3 linked regions of the Oryctolagus cuniculus genome follow. The protein of the gene in region 2 interacts with the protein of the main gene of each other region in a pairwise test. Links are inferred from orthologs where the notes say so. Each region holds a gene or a part of one and is shown on either strand. Other genes may lie near its edges.

Region 1 (5,934 bases), on a different chromosome or scaffold from region 2:
TAAAAATCTTTTTAAAAAATAAAACAAAAGCAAAAACAAAGGTAAGGCAATGAAGCGAGTCGTTAAAATTCAGTGTAGCGAATGCTGGAGAAAATGATGGTGCAGAGGGTCTAACCTAGAGGCCCTTAACCTGACCAGGGGAGGTGAAGAAATGTTCCCTCGGATAAAGGGCAGAAGCTGAACCTTGAGGCTTAAGTAGAACTCAGCCAGACAAAGGGTGGAGAGAAGCACACCAACCAGAAGAAAAAGTACATGCTCGGGGCTGGCGTTGTTGTGTAGTAGGTAAAGCTGCTGTATACAGTGCTGGCATCCCATATGGACGCTGGTTCTAGTCCCGGCTGCTCCACTTCCGATCCAGCTCTCTGCTATGGCCTGGGACAGCAGTAGAAGATGGCCCAAGTCCTTGGGCCCCTGCACCCACGTGGGAGACCCAGAAGAAGCTCTTGGCTCCTGGCTTCGGATAGGCACAGCTCCAGCCATTGCAGCCATCTGAGGAGTGAACCAGCAGACGGAAGACCTCTCTCTCTTTCTGCCTCTGCCTCTTTGCCTTCCAAATAAATAAATAAATCTTTAAAAAAAAAAAAAAAGCACATGCTCCCCACCAATTGGAAGTGATCTTTCTCAACACACACAGTCGCTTCCAGGAGCCCCTCCTTGGGCTCCAGCAATACTTAGCATTCTGCACTGACACTGTCTGGCTAGCTCCCTTCTTCCCAAGTCCTGACAGCAGGTCCTGCCCAGGCTATTCTTGGCCCTTCAGGTGGCCCCTAGGGCTGGGAAGGGGCAGGGCGGGGAGGGCTGGGGCAGAAGGAATCTGAGGAACAGATTCTGTAATCCACGGTTGGTCATGGGATTCCCTGCCTGTGACAGCATCACTCTCCCCAGAATGGAAGAAAGCGAGGCTTTCTGGCCAGAAAAAGCAGCACTCATTTCACACTCTCTCTTTGGAAGCAGAGTAGAGGAAAAACAGCTGAGCAGAGCTACAGCCTCAGAAGCTACTCAAACCCCATTCTCTTCCCAGGAGGATTCGGATTCCCTCCTCCTGTCCTTGATAATACATAGACTGCCTATGCTGGGGTCCTGCTGGGGGCAGCCTCCGGCCCCAGGCAAAACGGAACCTGCAGGAAAAGACCCAGCCCCAGCAGGCAGGTTCCACAGGCACAAAAAGTGAGGCGAGGAGAGACAGGGCCTGCTCAAGATCACACAGTGATTCAGAAGCACAGCCAAGACTTGAACCCATGCCTTCCCGCTTCCTGCCTATAGCTGCTTCACACCGGCTCCGCTGTTGGCTCTGCTGTTGCCCTAGCAACAGTTCTTTGGGTGGGAGAACTAAGGAGGGGAGGTTGCATTGTTTCCCATTCCCACGAAACCCAGGGTCTCATTCCAGAGTCTGACTCATTCACTCATTCTACAGCAGAAGAAGGGTAAGAAGAGCCCTAGAGGCAGGACCGACCTTGGCCACAAGGGCAGGACTGCCCCTCCCTGCATGGGAGCCCCAGGGAAGAAGGACAACTGCAGGGCAATTCTTAGAGGGCTTGCACCAGTCTTGCCTCCAGTGGCCCCAGGGAAACCCCTGCCCCACCCCTTGCTCCTCTAGGTCGGAGACTGAGGACTCCAAGCCTGAGGAGGGTGGAGGGAATGCTAGGGCCCCTCTCCTTGTCCTGGCTCAGGAAGGCTCCCTAAGTTGTACCCTTTACATCCAGCCTCATGCCCCAGGCCAGCTGGGTCAAAAATACAGAGAGAGACAATCAGAAGTGAAATGTACCCCTACAGCTTATAAACAGGTGGTCTCCACCGAAGCAGAAGAGAGAGGCAGAAAGACAAGGCGTGGCGCCTCCAGGCTCCTTGTGAGTTCAGGAAGCTCCTGAACCAGCACCTGCAAGTGTATCCGAGGTGGGGGAAATGATGACCACTTTTCTCATTCCAGTGATACAAAACGTATTGTAAAGTGTCCAGCACAGAACAGGTCTCAGTTGTAAAGATGCAAAGTGGTGGTCAGCAGACCTGGGTTCAAATCCTGGCTCTGCTTTTCACTTTTTTCATGACCTTGGGCAGTGAGTTAACCTCTCTGTGCCTGGTGTTACCTGTGTTAGGCAGGTATTCCTTACCTAACAGGGTTGCAAGAGAATATCACATAAAGGGCTGGGCACGATGCCGGCACATACACAGTCAAAGTTCCTTGCAAAGCAGGGCAGTCCAGGTTGTCTCTTTCTAGGCCTTGGGCTAAAGTTTGCACAGTGAGGTCCCCCCCCCCCCCCCAGCATAGCTGGATACAGTCACAGCCCTGCTCTGGGTTTGGCACTTGCCTCCAACCTTCAAGGCCAGGTGCACACTTGGCATCCAAGAACTACCCCCAGGGAGCCTCCCTTGACTGCTCCGCCCATCAAGCTCTCCTCAGAGTCTCTAATTTGGGGCCTGAGCGGGAGCCTCTCTGACCTCCTCCCTTTGCTTCCTCCCAGAACTGGGCACAAAGTGGGGCTCCAGGAAGACTTGGCTGACACACTCACAGTCAGCTCCTGGTCTGGGGCCAGGGAGCAGCGGGCAATTCCTCAGCTCTCCAGAACTGGCTGCAAAGCCGTGGCAGGTGTAAATCACCCCTTCACCGGAACCAGGGCTCTGGGGAGCCACCTAGGGCCCTGGGGAGTCTGTGGGGGGCCCCAGCTGCCCTTTTGGCTCAGAATCTAGACCAGCAGCAACTGGGATAGGGGAGGGCTGCTGCCCTGTGGCCTCTCTTTGCCAAGAAGGTGCGGGGGAGGAGGCTGAGTCGCAGGTGAGGGGACCGAAGCGCCGGCTGCTGTCTCTGCTGAGTCTTGGAACTTTCAAATGCCCACACCAAGTGGGGCTAGGGAACGCGGAGGCGGGGTCTCCAGCGCTCCAGTCCGCTTTCAGCGGCTCTGCCCTTCAGATCTCTTGTGTGCCGAATCCTAGCGAGAACACCCCCCTCCTCACAGGAACCAAGCCCATTCCCAGTTTGCAGGAAGAGAAAGACTGGCTGCCTTGGGATGGGGGCTGGGGGAACGAGTGGCCCCGTACCGGGAGGACGCTGAAGCGTGCTGCGATAGGTTCTCTGAACTTCCCAGCCCCCCCCCCCCCCAATTACTCGGCAGGAAAAACTTCCCAGAGCCTGCGTCTCCCAGCCCTAGTCCTCAGGACGCATCCACAGCGCACTCACCCTCGGGGGACAATTAAAAGGACGTCACCCCACCTCCAGACCGGGCTTTACGACAGATCTGGGAGGGACCCCAAGGAGTTAGGTGGGGACTCTCCAGACCACCTCCGGGGGCGTGAGTCCGTCCCTTCCAGCCCTACGCGGGGGGACTCATCCCGCACACTCACCAGCTCCATCCTCAGCGCCATGATCCTGTCCCCCAGGCCGTGGCCCGTTCCGGGCGACCCCGGGAGCAGCAGGGCGCCAGAGGGTTCCGGCTCCCACTCGCCTCGCAGCCCACGGAGCAGCCCTTCAGGGGTCTTCCTGCCCACCTTGCCCTCCACGTCTCGCAGGTCAGGAGTCTGGGACTCCACCGGCCCCTCCATGCGGGCCCCAAGCGCGAGCGGGGATGGGCGGCCGGACGCTGGGGTCCTGCTCCCGGGGGTCTTTCTGTCGCCCCTGCTAACGCGGAGCGGAACCGGTGGGTCCCCGCCCGGCACTGCGCGGGGGCGGGAGGAGGGCGCCGTAACTCTCAGAAAAGCCGCGCAGAGCCGTGTGAGGCTGTGTCTCCGAGTGCTGCGCACACAACCCCTGGCCCTGCGTGCCGTGAGGCTGGGCGATCCTACGTGCACCCGGAGAGCTCAGCGCCTTCTCCCTACCCCGGCGCTGACTCCAGCTAGGCACGCAACGAGCACCCAAAATAAACGTTTGCTGAATGAAAGCGAAGCCTTAGAGATGTGCGAATTTCAGGAACAGAAGTCTCAGAGAGCTGCACAGAAGGTTTGGAAGGTTTCCTGGAGTAGGCCAGCTGGAACTAAAACGGGCGGGCGGCTAAAATCAAGCTAGCCACCTGCACACACTCCCCGGGAGCTGGAATTCAGACGAAAGGAGTGGATGGCCAGTGAGGAGCAACCAGTACTGAAGCCCCAGGGGCCTGTGCATCACTTGCCAATCTTAAAATGCAGGTTCTGATCCTGTAAATCTGCAGGTGGGGCTGAGATTCTGCTTTTCCAACAGGCTCCCAGGGAATGGTCATGCTGCTTGTGGGTCTGGGGACCACACTTTGAGCAACAGGGCTATAGAAGATGTTTCCAGAGCCAAGGAGGAGCCATGAAAAATTTGGTTTGGTTTTGGCTTTTAACCCAAGCAACTCCAGTCCATGGTTACAGAAGGCTGTACCATGAAGACAGGTGCCCTGGCCCTTCCCTTTCACACCTCCAGGCCCCACTCCCTAGAGGCAACCACTTTTAGTTTTTTTTCCTGGTGTGTACACTCTGAACAACAAATAGGCTAACAGCACCACTTCCTAATTTTAAAAAAAGATTTATTTATTTATTTGAAATACAAAGTTACACACAGAGAGAAATCTTCCATCTGCTGGTTCACTCCCCAGTTGGCCACAACAGCTGGGGCTGGGGACGATCCGTAGCTAAGAGCCAAGAGCTTCTTCTGGGTCTTCCACATAGATGCAGGGGTCCAAAGACTTGGGCTATCTTCTACTGCTTTCTCCCAGGCCATAGCAGAGAGCTGGATTGGAAGTGGAGCAGCTGGGACTTGAATCGGCGCCCATATGGGATGCCGGCACTGCAGACCATGGCTTTACCTGCTATGCCGCAGCACATGGCCCCACCACTTCCTACTTTTAAACATTGTCTATTGGCTTCCTAATGAGATAACTACAGATACCTTTCTCCATGACTACATATTTCCATCATTATTTCTAGTTCATATGATTGTATCCTTTGTAATTTAAGTTTTTCTTAAAGTTTTTTTTTTTTTTTCTGAGAAAGGGGTTTTCTTTTCTCTCTCTTTTTTAAGCATCTATCTATTTGAAAGAGCAATAGAGAGAGGAGGAGAGGCAGAGATCTTCCATCCACTCCATTATGGAATGCACACTGCATCAGAACACCGGTCCCAATGGGAAGGTTTTAAATCAGAGACTGGCAAAACATTTGCCTTTCTGAAAATTTACTTTGCATTTAGCAGGGAGAAAGGATTAGGATAAAAATCAAGGAGACTAGTTGGAAGACAAAAGACTGAAAATGGCTTGAGTCAGGGCCTTGTGAGGTTAGAGAATTAGACCACAATGGAAGACTGTTTAGAAGGTATGATTGATAGGATTACATTAACTTATTTATAGTATTTTTCAATAAACTTTTGTTCAAAAATCAAATGAATGATTTTAACAAATACGATGGAGTGCCTACCAAGTACCAGCCTTGGGAGCAGACTATTTTTTAAAATTTATGTATTTATTAGAAAGACAGAGTTAGAGGCTGGCGCCGCGGCTCACTAGGCTAATCCTCCGCCTTGCAGCGCTGGCACACCGGGTTCTACTGCCTGGATTCTGTCCCGGTTGCCCCTCTTCCAGGCCAGCTCTCTGCTGTGGCCAGGGAGTGCAGTGGAGGATGGCCCAAGTGCTTGGGCCCTGCACCCCATGGGAGACCAGGAGAAGCACCTGGCTCCTGCCTTCGGATCAGCGCGGTGCGCCGGCCGCAGCACGCCTGCCATGGCAGCCATTGGAGGGTGAACCAACGGCAAAGGAAGACCTTTCTCTCTGTCTCTCTCTCTCACTGTGCACTCTGCCTGTCAAAAAAAAAAAAAAAAAAAAAAGACAGAGTTAGCGCAAAAATATCATCTGCTGGTTCACCCTCCAAATGGCTACAACAGCTGGGGCTGGGCCAGGCTGAAGCCAGGAGTCTGGAACATTCTGGTCTCTCATGTGGGTGGCAGAGGCCCAAGCACTTGGGCCATCTTCCACTGGTTTCTCAGGTGCATTAGCAGGA
Region 2 (5,778 bases):
TGCTCCTGGACATAATCGACTCGCTGGCCTCCCACATCTCCGACAAGCAGTGTGCGGAGCTGGGCGCTGACATCTGAGGGCTTGTAGCACCCTGCCCTGTGCGGACAATGACTGTCCCTGCCTGCGCCGGCCATGCAGTGTGCTTGTGACAGCTGCACCTGCTGGGCCAGGGAGCCCCGCCCCTCCAAGAACAGGTGTCCCAGGGAGATGGTATGGCAGACCCCTCCCTACCTGGCACCCTCCCCTGGGGGGGTTGCCACAGGAGGTGACAGATGACCAGACAATGTGGCTTTGGGAGGCTGGGCCTTGCCCCTGTGGCCTGGGTGTTGTGGATCCAGGCACTGGGGCCCATTGCCTGTTTTGGGGAGAGGACTGTGGCCCTAGAGTCGGCCTGGCCACCCTTGGAGCAGCTTGTGAGCAGAGACCAGTGAGGGGCAGGTGTGGTGTGACTCGAGCCGTGATGGGGCCAGGCCAGCGAGTGTGTCCGGCAGTGGGGGGCACCACTGTGCCTCTCCTGGCTGGCAGGACCCCGTGGGGAGATGCAGGGCTTTCCTCTTCTGCCTGTGCTCTGCATAGCGCCCAGGGGGTTGTGGGCAGGTGGACAGGAGGCCCTGGCAGGCAGGGAGGGAAGCAGCCATGAAGCCAGGAAGGAGCCTGCAGAGGCGCTGGGTGCTGGGGAGGAAGCAGCAGGCAGCTTGGAGTCCCCCTTAGCGGGCCACAGAGCCGGCTGCCCCACGGTTTCCACAGGCTGCGGGTCTCACCACACTCCTGGCAGGCTCATCACAACCCCCTTCCCCAGGGCTGGCTTTGCAAACCCCCACGACGATCCGGTGATCCGCAAGGCCCGCTCCTCACTGCCCCCCACCCCGCGACTGTGAATAAATGAAGTGACCGTCTGGAGCTGGAACACTGTGTCTGAGGCCAGAAAGCTTTCAGCTGGGTGGCAGGTGGGACGGGTGGGATGGGTGAGCCCTGCACTCTGACGCTCCCACCCACGGTCCCAGGGTGAACCCCTGGCAGGCCCAGTGTTTGAGCCCCAACCGAGCTAGGCAACAGCACCTCCTGGAATCCACTTTATTCCGGCGTCCGGCCGCGCCCCCAGCCCCCTCAGGCCATGCTGCTGCCCAGCTGCATGGCGAAGTCCTGCACATGCTCCTTCAGCGTCTGCCGGGCGTCGGCCTGAGCCCGCTTCTCCCGGGCCCGCTCCTGCTGCAGCTTGGTCAGCCGCAGCCGCAGCCGCTGCTCCCGCCGCTTGCAGGCTTGCAGCTGCCGCTGGGCCTTGTCCAGGGCGTCCAAGGCCGCCTCGGCCCGGCGCTTCCAGAGCAGGGCGCTGCCCACCTGGTAGCTGTGCTCGTTCTGGATGTAGGCGCCGGCAGGGGGCGGCAGGCGCAGCATGTAGGCGGACGGGGACACGGGCCGCGGCTCCAGCGGCGAGGGCTGCGCGCTACAGCCCGCCTCGTCCGCCTGGGCGCCCAGCGGGCCCAGCAGGTCTGAGAAGGGGCTGCTCAGGCCGGGCTCCAGCCTCCCAGCGGGCGAGGCTGGCAGCGTGGCGGGCGCCGAGGCCTCTTCCGCAGGGAAGCAGCTGACGTCGGCCGGCGGGGGTGGCGAGAACGGGGTGGTGGGCCCCCGGCCTTCGGCGCAGCTGCGGGGACAGAGAGACAGCCTGCCAGCCGGGCCGGGCTGGGGGTGCGCTCCGCGGGGCTGCCGGGCCTCCGCCCGCCGCACCTACCGCTTCCGGCATCGCCGCAGCCTGCCGATGTCCGGGGGGCCGGGCGGGTAACCGTGCCCTTTGCTCTTGGCGCTGCGGCGCAGCTTGGAAAAAGACTCAAAGATGGTGGGGACCGCGCCCTCCTTCAGCCTGTGGTACCCACTGTGGGGAGGAAGCGGCCTGGTGAGCGGGAGAGCGGGTGCTGCCCCTCAACCCCCCACCGCCCGGTCCCGGCGCTGAGGGTGGTGGAAGGCGACACCACGCTTCCCTGGCTTCCCTGCACGGCTCCCCGAAACTGAGGTGTCTGCAACACTCCATCAGCAGCCCCAAGGGATTCCTGCTGGGAGGGCCGGGCAGCGCTCACGGCGGTAGAGGGACTTTCCGGCCCTGGACCTGCCGGTCCTCACGCGGGCTGCTGGAGGGACCCTCTCGGGAACACACGGCCGCCCCGCCCTGCGCGGGCCTGGCCAGGGGGCCCACCTGATTCCCACCAGCTCAAAGCAGTTCTCTTCGAAGTGTTTGGAGCAGAAGTAGATGTACTCGGATGCCGGGTCCCACAGGCCCTGGCCGCTGGGGTCCAGCCGCTGGCAGTTGGCCAGCCACAGGCCTCGCCTCGGGTTGTCCTTCTTGGGGAGTCTGCGAAGCCGTCAACCAGTGCGTGCATGAGTGCCCGGCAGCTAGAGCAGGCCCCACAGCCGCACCCGCAGCGGCCGAGACCGGCGGGGTACGCGCCAGCCCGCCCGGGCATGGCGACGACTGAGGCCTCGAGACGCCGAGCTCAGGGAAGGGCCAGAAAGCAACGAGCCCAAGCCTGCTGGACCCCACCGCGTCCATCTCTCCTGCACTGGCCTCAATCCCTCCGGAACCCCCCACCCCACCGCCTTCGACTGGCACGCGCCACCCGCAAGTTCAAATCCCGCCAGGGCCCGAAAAAGGTGCGGCGCGCATGCGCAAGGCGCGGCCCCAACAGGCGCCTGCGCAAGGGAGCCCCCGCGCGCGCCACCACGCACGCGCGCTGACCTGTGGAAGGAGATGCCGCGGTTGCGCGTCTCGCGCGTGTCCCGTGTGCAGCAGCCGGCGGCGGAGCAGTGACGCGGCATCTGGGGGAGAGGTGGAAGCTAGGTCGCGGGCGGCCGTCGGGGCCCCGGCTGGCCTCGCGCTCTCAGCCGCCGCCCGCACAGGGTGCCCTGGCCCGTCGGGGCTCCCGCTCCCGGCCCGATCGCGCCCAAACCCAGTCACAGCCCGTGTTCTTGACTCCGGTCGGCGGCACTCACGGTCTCGCCATGGCTGCGCCGCCGAAGTCTCGCGAGGGGTGGCGCGCGGCGGAAGTCGAGACCGTAGACACTCGGGAGCGGGCGGCGCCGGAAGAGGGCGTAGCGGGCGCGCCGCGGGGCGTGGGCGGCCGTCGCGCCTGCGCCGTGCTAGTGCTGTGGGCTCCCGTTGAAATTCCCGTTACGGATGGAGCGGCTGCGGCACGGGCCCCGGCCTCCTCCCGGAAGGCCCCTGACTGAGTCGAGGGTCCCGCCCCCGGCCCGCAGAACCGTGCTGAGCTCCTGGCGGCGCCGGAGACGGGGACTTGAGGGGAGGCGGGCGGGGGCCTCTCGAGACGCGCGGGGCGGGGCTCCGTGGCTCCACCCACGGGGCGGGGCCTGGAGGCGCGGGCTCCGAGTCCGGAGGAAGCCGTCCCCTAGTTGCTAGTCCCGGGAGGGGCGCAGGGGCCGAACTGGCACACACGCTGGAGAAGCTCACGTAGAGTCGCACGGCTCTGCCCGAGACCCGCTTGGACGCACGCGTGTCAGAGTACAGCACACGACAGGCGATGGCTCAGTGCCCAAACTTTAATAGGTAAAATAGGTCCTGCAGTGACCCACTGGGAGGGGACCGCAGGTTCTCAGTACTCCTCCCCCTCCTCGGCCTCCGCCTCCACGGAGTCCACGCCCACCTCCTCGTAATCCTTCTCCAGGGCGGCCAGGTCCTCGCGGGCCTCGGAGAACTCCCCTTCCTCCATGCCTTCGCCCACGTACCAGTGCACGAAGGCCCGCTTGGCGTACATGAGGTCGAACTTGTGGTCCAGGCGGGCCCAGGCCTCGGCGATGGCCGTGGTGTTGCTCAGCATGCACACGGCCCGCTGCACCTTGGCCAGGTCGCCCCCGGGCACCACGGTGGGGGGCTGGTAGTTGATGCCCACCTGCCGGAGGAGGACACAGCAGTCAGAAAGGGCGGCTTACTTCTAAAGACAGGCACTGTGTGCCAGTTGAAAACGGCGCCCTGGGAACAGGCCCTTGGCATAGCAATTAAGACTCTGCTGGGGGGGGGGGCATTGTGGCTTAGCGTAAGCCACTGCCCCCCGATGCCAGCATCCCATCATGGGCGCTAGTTCGAGTCCCGGATGCTCCACTTGTTTTTGTTTTTAAAGATTTATTTATTTATTTGAAAGTCAGAGTTACAGAAAGGGAGAGGGAGAGATCGTCCATCCGCTTGTTCACTCCCCAGATGGCTGCAATGGCTGGAGCTGTGCTGACCCGAAGCCAGGAGCTTCTTCCGGTTCTCCCACGTGGGTGCAGGGGCCCAAGGGCTTGGGGCATCGTCCACTGCTTTCCCAGACCACAGCGGAGAGCTGGATCAGAAGTGGAGCAGCTGGGACTTGAACTGGTCCCCATATGAGACGCTGGCACTACAGGCAGCTGCTTTAGCTGCTACGCCACAGCGCCAGCCCATGCTCCACTTCTAATCCAGATTCCTGCTAATGTGCCTGGGAAAGCAGCAGATGGCCCAAGTCCTGGGGCCCCTGCACCCATGTGGGAGACCTGGAGGAAGCTCCTGGCTCTGGAAGAGCCCACCTCTGGCAGTTGTGGCCATTTGGGGAGTGAACCAGCAGATGGAAGACCTCTCTCTCTCTGCCTCTGCCTCTCTGCAACTCTGCCTTTCAAATACATAAAACATATCTTGAAAGAAAAAAATAGGTCATCTGTGTCAAGCTGTCATGAAGGGGGCTGAGAGCGTCTAACAAGTGGTGTGTGATCAGAGGAAGCACAGCCCTCCACGTGGGAAAAGGCAGACACACTGCTCTGGGTTTCTCATGTCATTTTCCATCGGAATGATTCTGGAACTCGAAGCTCCCCCAATACACTGGAACTCATCAGAGCTTACAAATGTGGAATCCACAGCTTTGTCTATGGGGAAAATCACTGGGGACAAGGTTAAAAACCAAAGGGCATGAAGATGCAAACCAGGTGTGTCAGGGCACGCAGCCTGCTAATCACAGTACACCTCAGAGACTAGCTTTCTATTAGACATTTACTGAATTAATTTCTAAACTGGTTGTCATTGCAGTCTCCCCATGGGGTGTGGGCGTGGGGACAGCATTCTCCCAGAGGTCTGCTGCCCACTGACGGGGTGACACCTCCCGGCACCAGGCCTACCTTAAAGCCGGTGGGGCACCAGTCCACAAACTGGATGGTGCGCTTGGTCTTGATGGTGGCGATGGCCGCGTTGACGTCCTTCGGGACCACGTCGCCCCTGTACAGCATGCAGCAGGCCATGTACTTGCCGTGGCGAGGGTCGCACTTCACCATCTGATTGGCCGGCTCGAAGCAGGCGTTGGTGATCTCGGCCACGGACAGCTGCTCGTGGTAGGCCTTCTCCGCCGAGATGACCGGGGCGTAGGTGGCCAGCGGGAAGTGGATGCGGGGGTACGGCACCAGGTTGGTCTGGAACTCCGTCAAGTCCACGTTCAGGGCCCCGTCGAATTACAGGGAGGCCGTGATGGACGACACGATCTGCCCAATTAGGCGGTTGAGGTTGGTGTACGTGGGACGCTCGATGTCCAGGTTGCGCCGACAGATGTCATAGATGGCTTCATTGTCCACCATGAAGGCACAGTCGGAATGTTCCAGGGTCGTGTGGGTGGTCAGGATGGAGTTGTACGGCTCCACCACTGCCGTGGAAACCTGCGGCGCTGGGTAGATGGCAAACTCCAGCTTGGACTTCTTGCCATAGTCCACCGACAGCCGCTCCATGAGCAGAGACGCGAACCCGGAGCCGGTGCCGCCCCCAAAGCTGTGGAAGAT
Region 3 (5,843 bases), on a different chromosome or scaffold from region 2:
CTACTCATACCATGGAATATTATTTATCCTTGGAAAGGAAGGAAATTCTGAAACTTTCTATAGCTTGCTGAAGCTTGAGGACACTATGCTATGTGAAATAAGCCAGACACAAATACTGCATGGTTCTACTTTTATGAAGCACTTGGAGTAGTCAAATTCATATATATATATATATATATACACATATATATATGTAGAGAAAAATTAAGAAATTCAACATCATAGTAAGGGAGTTTAATACTCTCAGCAATTGATAGCTCATGGCGATAACATAGTTGAAAGAATACAGAATATTTGCACCACAAAATTAAAGTTTGACCTATAAATCTCAATATAGAACCCTGCACCTAAAAATTAGATGATATACATTGTTCTCAAGAACATGCAGTATTCGTGAGTACAAAGAATCTGTATCAGACCATGTTTTCTGGATGAAATCAAATAAGAAAGCAAAAGCTAGATGACATCTAACACCTCCTGTATTTAGAAATTTACAATCCAGTCCTAAATTACTCATGGATCAAAACAATGATCGATCGTAACAGAAATTAAGACTTTACTACTTCATGATATTGAAAATATCACAGATGAAAATGCATGAGAAAAGGGACCAGTCTTGTGGCCTAGTGGGTTAAGGCATATCCTATGATGAAAACTGAACTAAAGGCAAGTTTATTTAGGTGCAAATTTTTTTCAAAATCCATGCACACTTTTGTCAAGGTATGCATTTTCCATGAACTTTTTTTTTCAAAAAAGGATTTATTTATTTGAAAAGCAGAATTACAGAGAGGCAGAGGAGAGAGAGAGAGAGAGAGAGAGAGAGAGAGAGAGAGAGAGATGTCTTCCATCTTCTGGTTCACTCCCCAAATGGCCACAATGGCCAGAGCTGAGCTTATCCAAAGCCAGGATCCAGGAGGTTCTTCCAGGTCTCCCATGCGGGTACAGGGGCCCAAGGACTTAGGCCATCTTCCACTGCTTTACCAGGCCATAGCAGAGAGCTGGACTGGAAGAGGAGCAGCCGTGTCTCAAACTGGCACTCATATGGGATACCAGCACCGCAGGCGGCAGCTTTACTTGCTATGCCATGGGGCTGGTCCCCTCCATGAGCTTTTTAAGGACTACTGATACAGCCTCCTGTACTATTCCATCCTTCAGATGTGCTAATTGTAAATAAACTCAAACTGTATTCCCCATGTAGTAATTAGGAAGTGATGCATCTGGGGTGTTTATTAACTTTATATATATATATATACACACACACACACACACACACACATAACTGTAGGCTTCTATAATTTCATCTTGAATGATGCTGGGGAGGGGGTGGCAGGAGGGGAGTGGGGAAGGCTTTAAGAGGAATGAAATTACAGTTTCAATTTGGATTGGATTGCATTTTTTTAATACCAGCGAATCAGACTGTTTATTAACACCCAAAAGTGCCAGGAAAAGCTATCAAATCTGCCCTAGATTCTTCCCGAGAAGGGAGATCAGATAGAACCGTTTAAAAAAAGGCAGTGGTGTGGAGAAAAAAAAAGGTGCTATTTCATGGTTTCCCTTGACCAAGCAGTACAGTTTGTTAAAAAAAGATTGAACTAGTATAAAATATTGCTTCAAGTTTTAAAATAGCCACTCCCTAAAAGACTGTAAACCAAGCTAAACGGAGCCAGGACCAACACCATCCGTTCATCTTCATCATGGCAAATCCTCATCAACTTGGTCTCACTTCCTCCCCTGGGGGCGTCTCCCCGCGCCCCCTCCCCGCTGGCCAGAGCTGGAGCCGGACGCCCTCGCGCGCGCGTAAGCGCGGGGCGGCCGGCAGAGGGCGCTGCGGCTCCCCGGCGGCGGGGCTGCGGCCGGCGGCTCCGGGCGAGGGGCGCGGGCCGGGAGGAGGCGCCCGGGGCTCGGCGTGTGCGTCTCCGGGCGGCCGGGAGGGGGTGCGCGCCTCTGCCGCCCCGTGCCACCCCTCCAGCGCGGGCCTCTCGCGCCCGGCCGCTGTCACCGCGCCGGCACCTCGCGGGCGAGGCTCGCGGGCTGCGCTGCGCGCTCGGAGGCCCCGCAGCTTCTCTTTGTCCGGGCGAGGCGGCCGGAGGAGCGGCCGCTGAGGCGGGGAGCGCCCGGGCGTCGTGCGGGCGGCGCGGGGTTCCTCAGCCGCCCGCCGCCCGCCGCCCGGCTGCGCTCGGAGCGGGAGCGGCGGCCCGGGTGGTGCCTGCGGCGAGGTGAGTGCGGGGACGCGGAGCCGGCGGGGGCGGGCGGGGGCGGCTGGGGCGCCTGCGGGTGCGGGGGCGCCGCCTCTCCCGGCAAGTTTGCCGGCTGTCTTTTGCGGCAATCCGTGGCCGGTCGGCGGAGTCCAGACCTGTCAGTAAATCGGAAACTCCAGCTGGGGCGAGGGAGAAAGAGGAGAAGGACGCGTGTTGGAAACGGGGTGGTCGGGATGGCAGTGTCCCGGAGGGACAGCGGTGGGCTTTCGGACTTGGTTCCGGGCTCTATCCGACCCAGGTGAGCGATTCCCGCCCTGCGCAGGGCGCGGCGGGTGGCTCCGGGCGGCTGGGAGACAGGTGCGCGCGCGGAGCCGGCTGCGGGCTGCGCCACTCTCTCGGCCTCTCCAGCGTCCCAGCGCCGTTCCCTCCCGCCCGCCTGCCTCACCTGCTCCGCGGCTCCCTCGGCATCTCCGCCAGGTGCAGCGCGCTGCGTTTCGGAGGCGCTGCTGGGGTAGTTGGAGCGATTCCTCCCCATCCACCCTCGGCTTTGGATAATTTGGTCTGTGCCTTCGTCTTAATTTAGTACGGATGTGTTATTTCCTTCCAGCGTTCTAATGGGGGAGCAGGGACGCGGCTCGCTACGTCTCCCCCCACCCCCCTGTCTCATTCTGAGCAGAAGGAATCGCAGGCATACAAGTGATGTTACTACCGTTCTATTTTAAATACAAACACGGGAAGAACTCTTGCAGCATACCAGAGGCGCCTGTACTCTGTTATATAAGTGCTTTAAAAAAAATCGCCTCGTATTGGTGAAGTTCCGAGTGGATAGCAAAGCAGCTAAGAGAGTGTGGAGGTGGCAGAACCTGCTCATCTCTGCTGTCGACCAAAACTTTGCTTCACGGTAAACGCTGGGCTTTTCAGATGCCACGCAGGAAAAAAACCTCGGAAACCTCACTGGGTAGAATTGCAAAGCGTTTAAGAAAACAGATTTTGTCAGCTCTGTGCTGGACATCGGTGAGCACTGTGTGACCACTTACGGGGGTCTGGGGAGGTCACAGGTATCCGTTAACGACTTTCACTTATTGAATGGTTTTATTTTGATCTCTGATGGAAACCTAGTAATTGTTGAGTTGCCAGTTATCAAAGGCGTCCCAGACACGAAACAGAACCCCCACCCACGCGCATTCATGGTTATTTATTTATTTTTGGGTGAGGAGAAGAGGAAAGAAGAAAAGGATCAGAGGTACTGTGTTAAGGGCCCCTTAGTCCGCACCCCCCCACACCTGCTGTAATTGGTTTGGGGAGATACCCTGGCGTCTGCATTGTTAGTGGTGATTCTGATCCCTAGCCAGAGATGGGACCCATTGGAAAGCATTCTGTGAGTTTGCTGCTTTGTAACTTAAGCCATTCTCTGGTGGTTTAATAAGGTAGGTCAAAAATACATGGGGTTAGAAATACCGGAAGAGAATGACAATAGGAGATTTTTCCAGGAATTCCAGTCCCTGCTGAGACTGGTTGATATCTATCAGGGACCCATCGCTCTGCCTCCTGTGCTGAGCTGGGTGCTAAGTGGTACCCTGGCTCGTGCAGAGGTGGAAGTGAAAGTTGAGTTACTACACAAATTATGCTTTTATGTTTATGTGAGAAAGGAACCACATCTTATTAAGGGTTATTCTCATTCAGGCTTCTCCCCCTCAAATCAAAAACTTATGTTGATATAGATGAGTAAATTCCATGCAGAAAGCTTTTTATGATATTTCAGGTCTGAAATCAACCTGACTGCTGAATCAGTGCTTCTTTCTGCCTTATGTAACTCCCAGGATCCACATCGGAGAACAGCTCTCGTGGGTGGTTTATGAAGGCTTATATAAGAGCTACGACTGTGCTTTTGGTTCTCTCTTAAACTCCCTGTTTGGGCTGTTACATAATTGACTGGGAACTAGGCTGGTAAAGCCCGAATCGGGGGAGGATGCACAAGCCCCGTTCTGCACATGCACTTTTATAATGAATTGCTGCTGCTGAATTAGAGGGAACAGCAGGGATGGTGGTTTGTGAAAGGGAGATAAGAATAGCATCTCGGGGATTGATGTAATAGAGGACTGTTATGTTGAGCGATTTTCTGGAGGTTTGCATGCTGTGGTGGAACCTCTGGTCTGTTGTCTCTCTCAGCAGAGGCGGATTGCCGGGGAGGCTGATGACTCTTAAGCTCCAGGCTTCTTCAGAGCCCCTGGGAGGGGCCCTAGCACTGTGTTTGCAGGGTCACACCTGAGTTTGCAATTGTAAGTTTGGGTTGTTTTTAAACAGATAGGATGCTCTTTCTACCCTTACACACACACACCACCACTATATAAACCCTAAGATTGCACAAACCTGACTCTGCCTCCAGCTGCAGGTTGTGTCCAACTGTTAGCTCATAAAAGTGCCTATTCTTATTTTCCTTCTTGTCATCCTATGCAATGATACAATAAAAGCAATCTGGCCAGTATTGTAGCTGACTTGCTGCAAAAATGCACATTGCTAGAACATAGGTCTATGGGGAGCTATTGAAATCAGGTGGTTGGGGCCGGCTCCGTGGCTCACTTTGTTAATCCTCTGCCTGTGGCGCTGGCATCCCATATGGGCACCCGGTTGCTCCTCTTCCAGTCCAACTCTCTGCTGTGGCCTGGGAGGGCAGTGGAGAATGGCCCAAGTTCTTGGGCCCCTGCACCCGCATGGGAGACCAGGAAGAAGCACCTGGCTCCTGGCTTCGGATTGGCATAGCTCTGACTGTAGTGGCCATTTGGGGGGTGAACCAATGAAAGGAAGACCTTTCTCTTTGTCTCTCTCTCTCTCTCTCTCTCTCTCTCTCTGTCTAATTCTGTCTGTCAAATAAAAAAAAAAAAAGAAATTAGGTGGTTACCTAGAGAGCCAGCTCTTAGCCTCGCCATGTCACAGGAGGCAGACTTTTCTGGATCTGAGTGTGGCCAGAGGTAGAGAAAAGCAGATATGGCCGCTAGACGGGAGCAGAAGGGTTACAGCTCTTCCTTGTCCCAGAAGCAGCCTGCTAAGGGGAAAAGCAATGAGAAATCAACTACTAAATTAATAAAAAGTTAATTGGAACAGATAGCATCAGCTCTATAGGAGATAGTCTTGTGAGCTCTGTGGGGTCAGACTCTGGTAGGAAATTTAAACAGCATGCAGACAAACGAAGATCTGGAAAATCTCTTGCATTTGTTTTCAATGCAGGTCAAGGAGGAATAAAGAATTTTGGCTTGACCCCATGGGCAATTTTTAAATTATTTAAAGTTGATTTATTTGAGAGAAAGAGAGAGCCCCTCATCTACTGATGCACTCCCCAAAGGCCCACAATGGCCAGGACTGGGCCAGGTCAAAGCTGGGGACTGGGAGGTCCATCCAGGTCTCCCACAAGAGTGGCAGGAACCCAACCACTTGAGCCATCAGCTGCTGCTTCCCAGGGTTGCACATGAGCAGGAAACCAGAATCAGGAATGAACTTAGGACTCAAACCCAGGCATCCTAACCAGGATCTTAACTGCTATGCCAAATGCTCACCCCAGCTACCTCTGTTAAGCAGTTTTTATGAGCACATAGGGGGCTTGTTGAAAAGAGTTGAGGAATTTCCCTGAGATAATTTCTAGTTCTTGTT

Evidence for each region. The genes of interacting proteins can lie anywhere in the genome.
Region 1: the proteins of THAP7 (region 2) and LURAP1 interact in a two-hybrid assay, tested with the Homo sapiens proteins (2 studies listed by BioGRID and IntAct). The two-hybrid records come from large-scale screens. The link is inferred for Oryctolagus cuniculus from reciprocal best matches to the Homo sapiens genes THAP7 and LURAP1.
Region 3: the proteins of THAP7 (region 2) and MTUS2 interact in binary tests that used the Homo sapiens proteins (3 or more experiments, as listed by UniProt). The two-hybrid records come from large-scale screens. The link is inferred for Oryctolagus cuniculus from reciprocal best matches to the Homo sapiens genes THAP7 and MTUS2.

The regions. Positions count from the first base shown.
Region 1 is NC_091438.1:126,551,072-126,557,005, forward strand, and holds the start of LURAP1 (leucine rich adaptor protein 1), read right to left. Parts: upstream 3,729-5,934; 5' UTR 3,535-3,728; coding exon 3,337-3,534; intron 1-3,336. UniProt on the Homo sapiens protein: Acts as an activator of the canonical NF-kappa-B pathway and drive the production of pro-inflammatory cytokines. Promotes the antigen (Ag)-presenting and priming function of dendritic cells via the canonical NF-kappa-B pathway.
Region 2 is NC_091452.1:29,749,638-29,755,415, forward strand, and holds THAP7 (THAP domain-containing protein 7), read right to left. Parts: upstream 3,314-5,778; 5' UTR 2,983-3,313; intron 2,809-2,982; coding exon 2,729-2,808; intron 2,345-2,728; coding exon 2,189-2,344; intron 1,871-2,188; coding exon 1,730-1,870; intron 1,643-1,729; coding exon 1,108-1,642; 3' UTR 1,061-1,107; downstream 1-1,060. Other genes in the region: LZTR1 (leucine-zipper-like transcriptional regulator 1), read left to right, coding at 1-77; tubulin alpha chain, read right to left, coding at 3,600-3,896, 5,131-5,283; tubulin alpha-3 chain, read right to left, coding at 5,458-5,778. UniProt on the Homo sapiens protein: Chromatin-associated, histone tail-binding protein that represses transcription via recruitment of HDAC3 and nuclear hormone receptor corepressors.
Region 3 is NC_091440.1:85,728,454-85,734,296, reverse strand, and holds the start of MTUS2 (microtubule-associated tumor suppressor candidate 2), read left to right. Parts: upstream 1-2,115; 5' UTR 2,116-2,216; intron 2,217-2,340; exon of another isoform or gene 2,341-2,496; intron 2,497-3,074; exon of another isoform or gene 3,075-3,212; intron 3,213-5,843. UniProt on the Homo sapiens protein: Binds microtubules. Together with MAPRE1 may target the microtubule depolymerase KIF2C to the plus-end of microtubules. May regulate the dynamics of microtubules at their growing distal tip.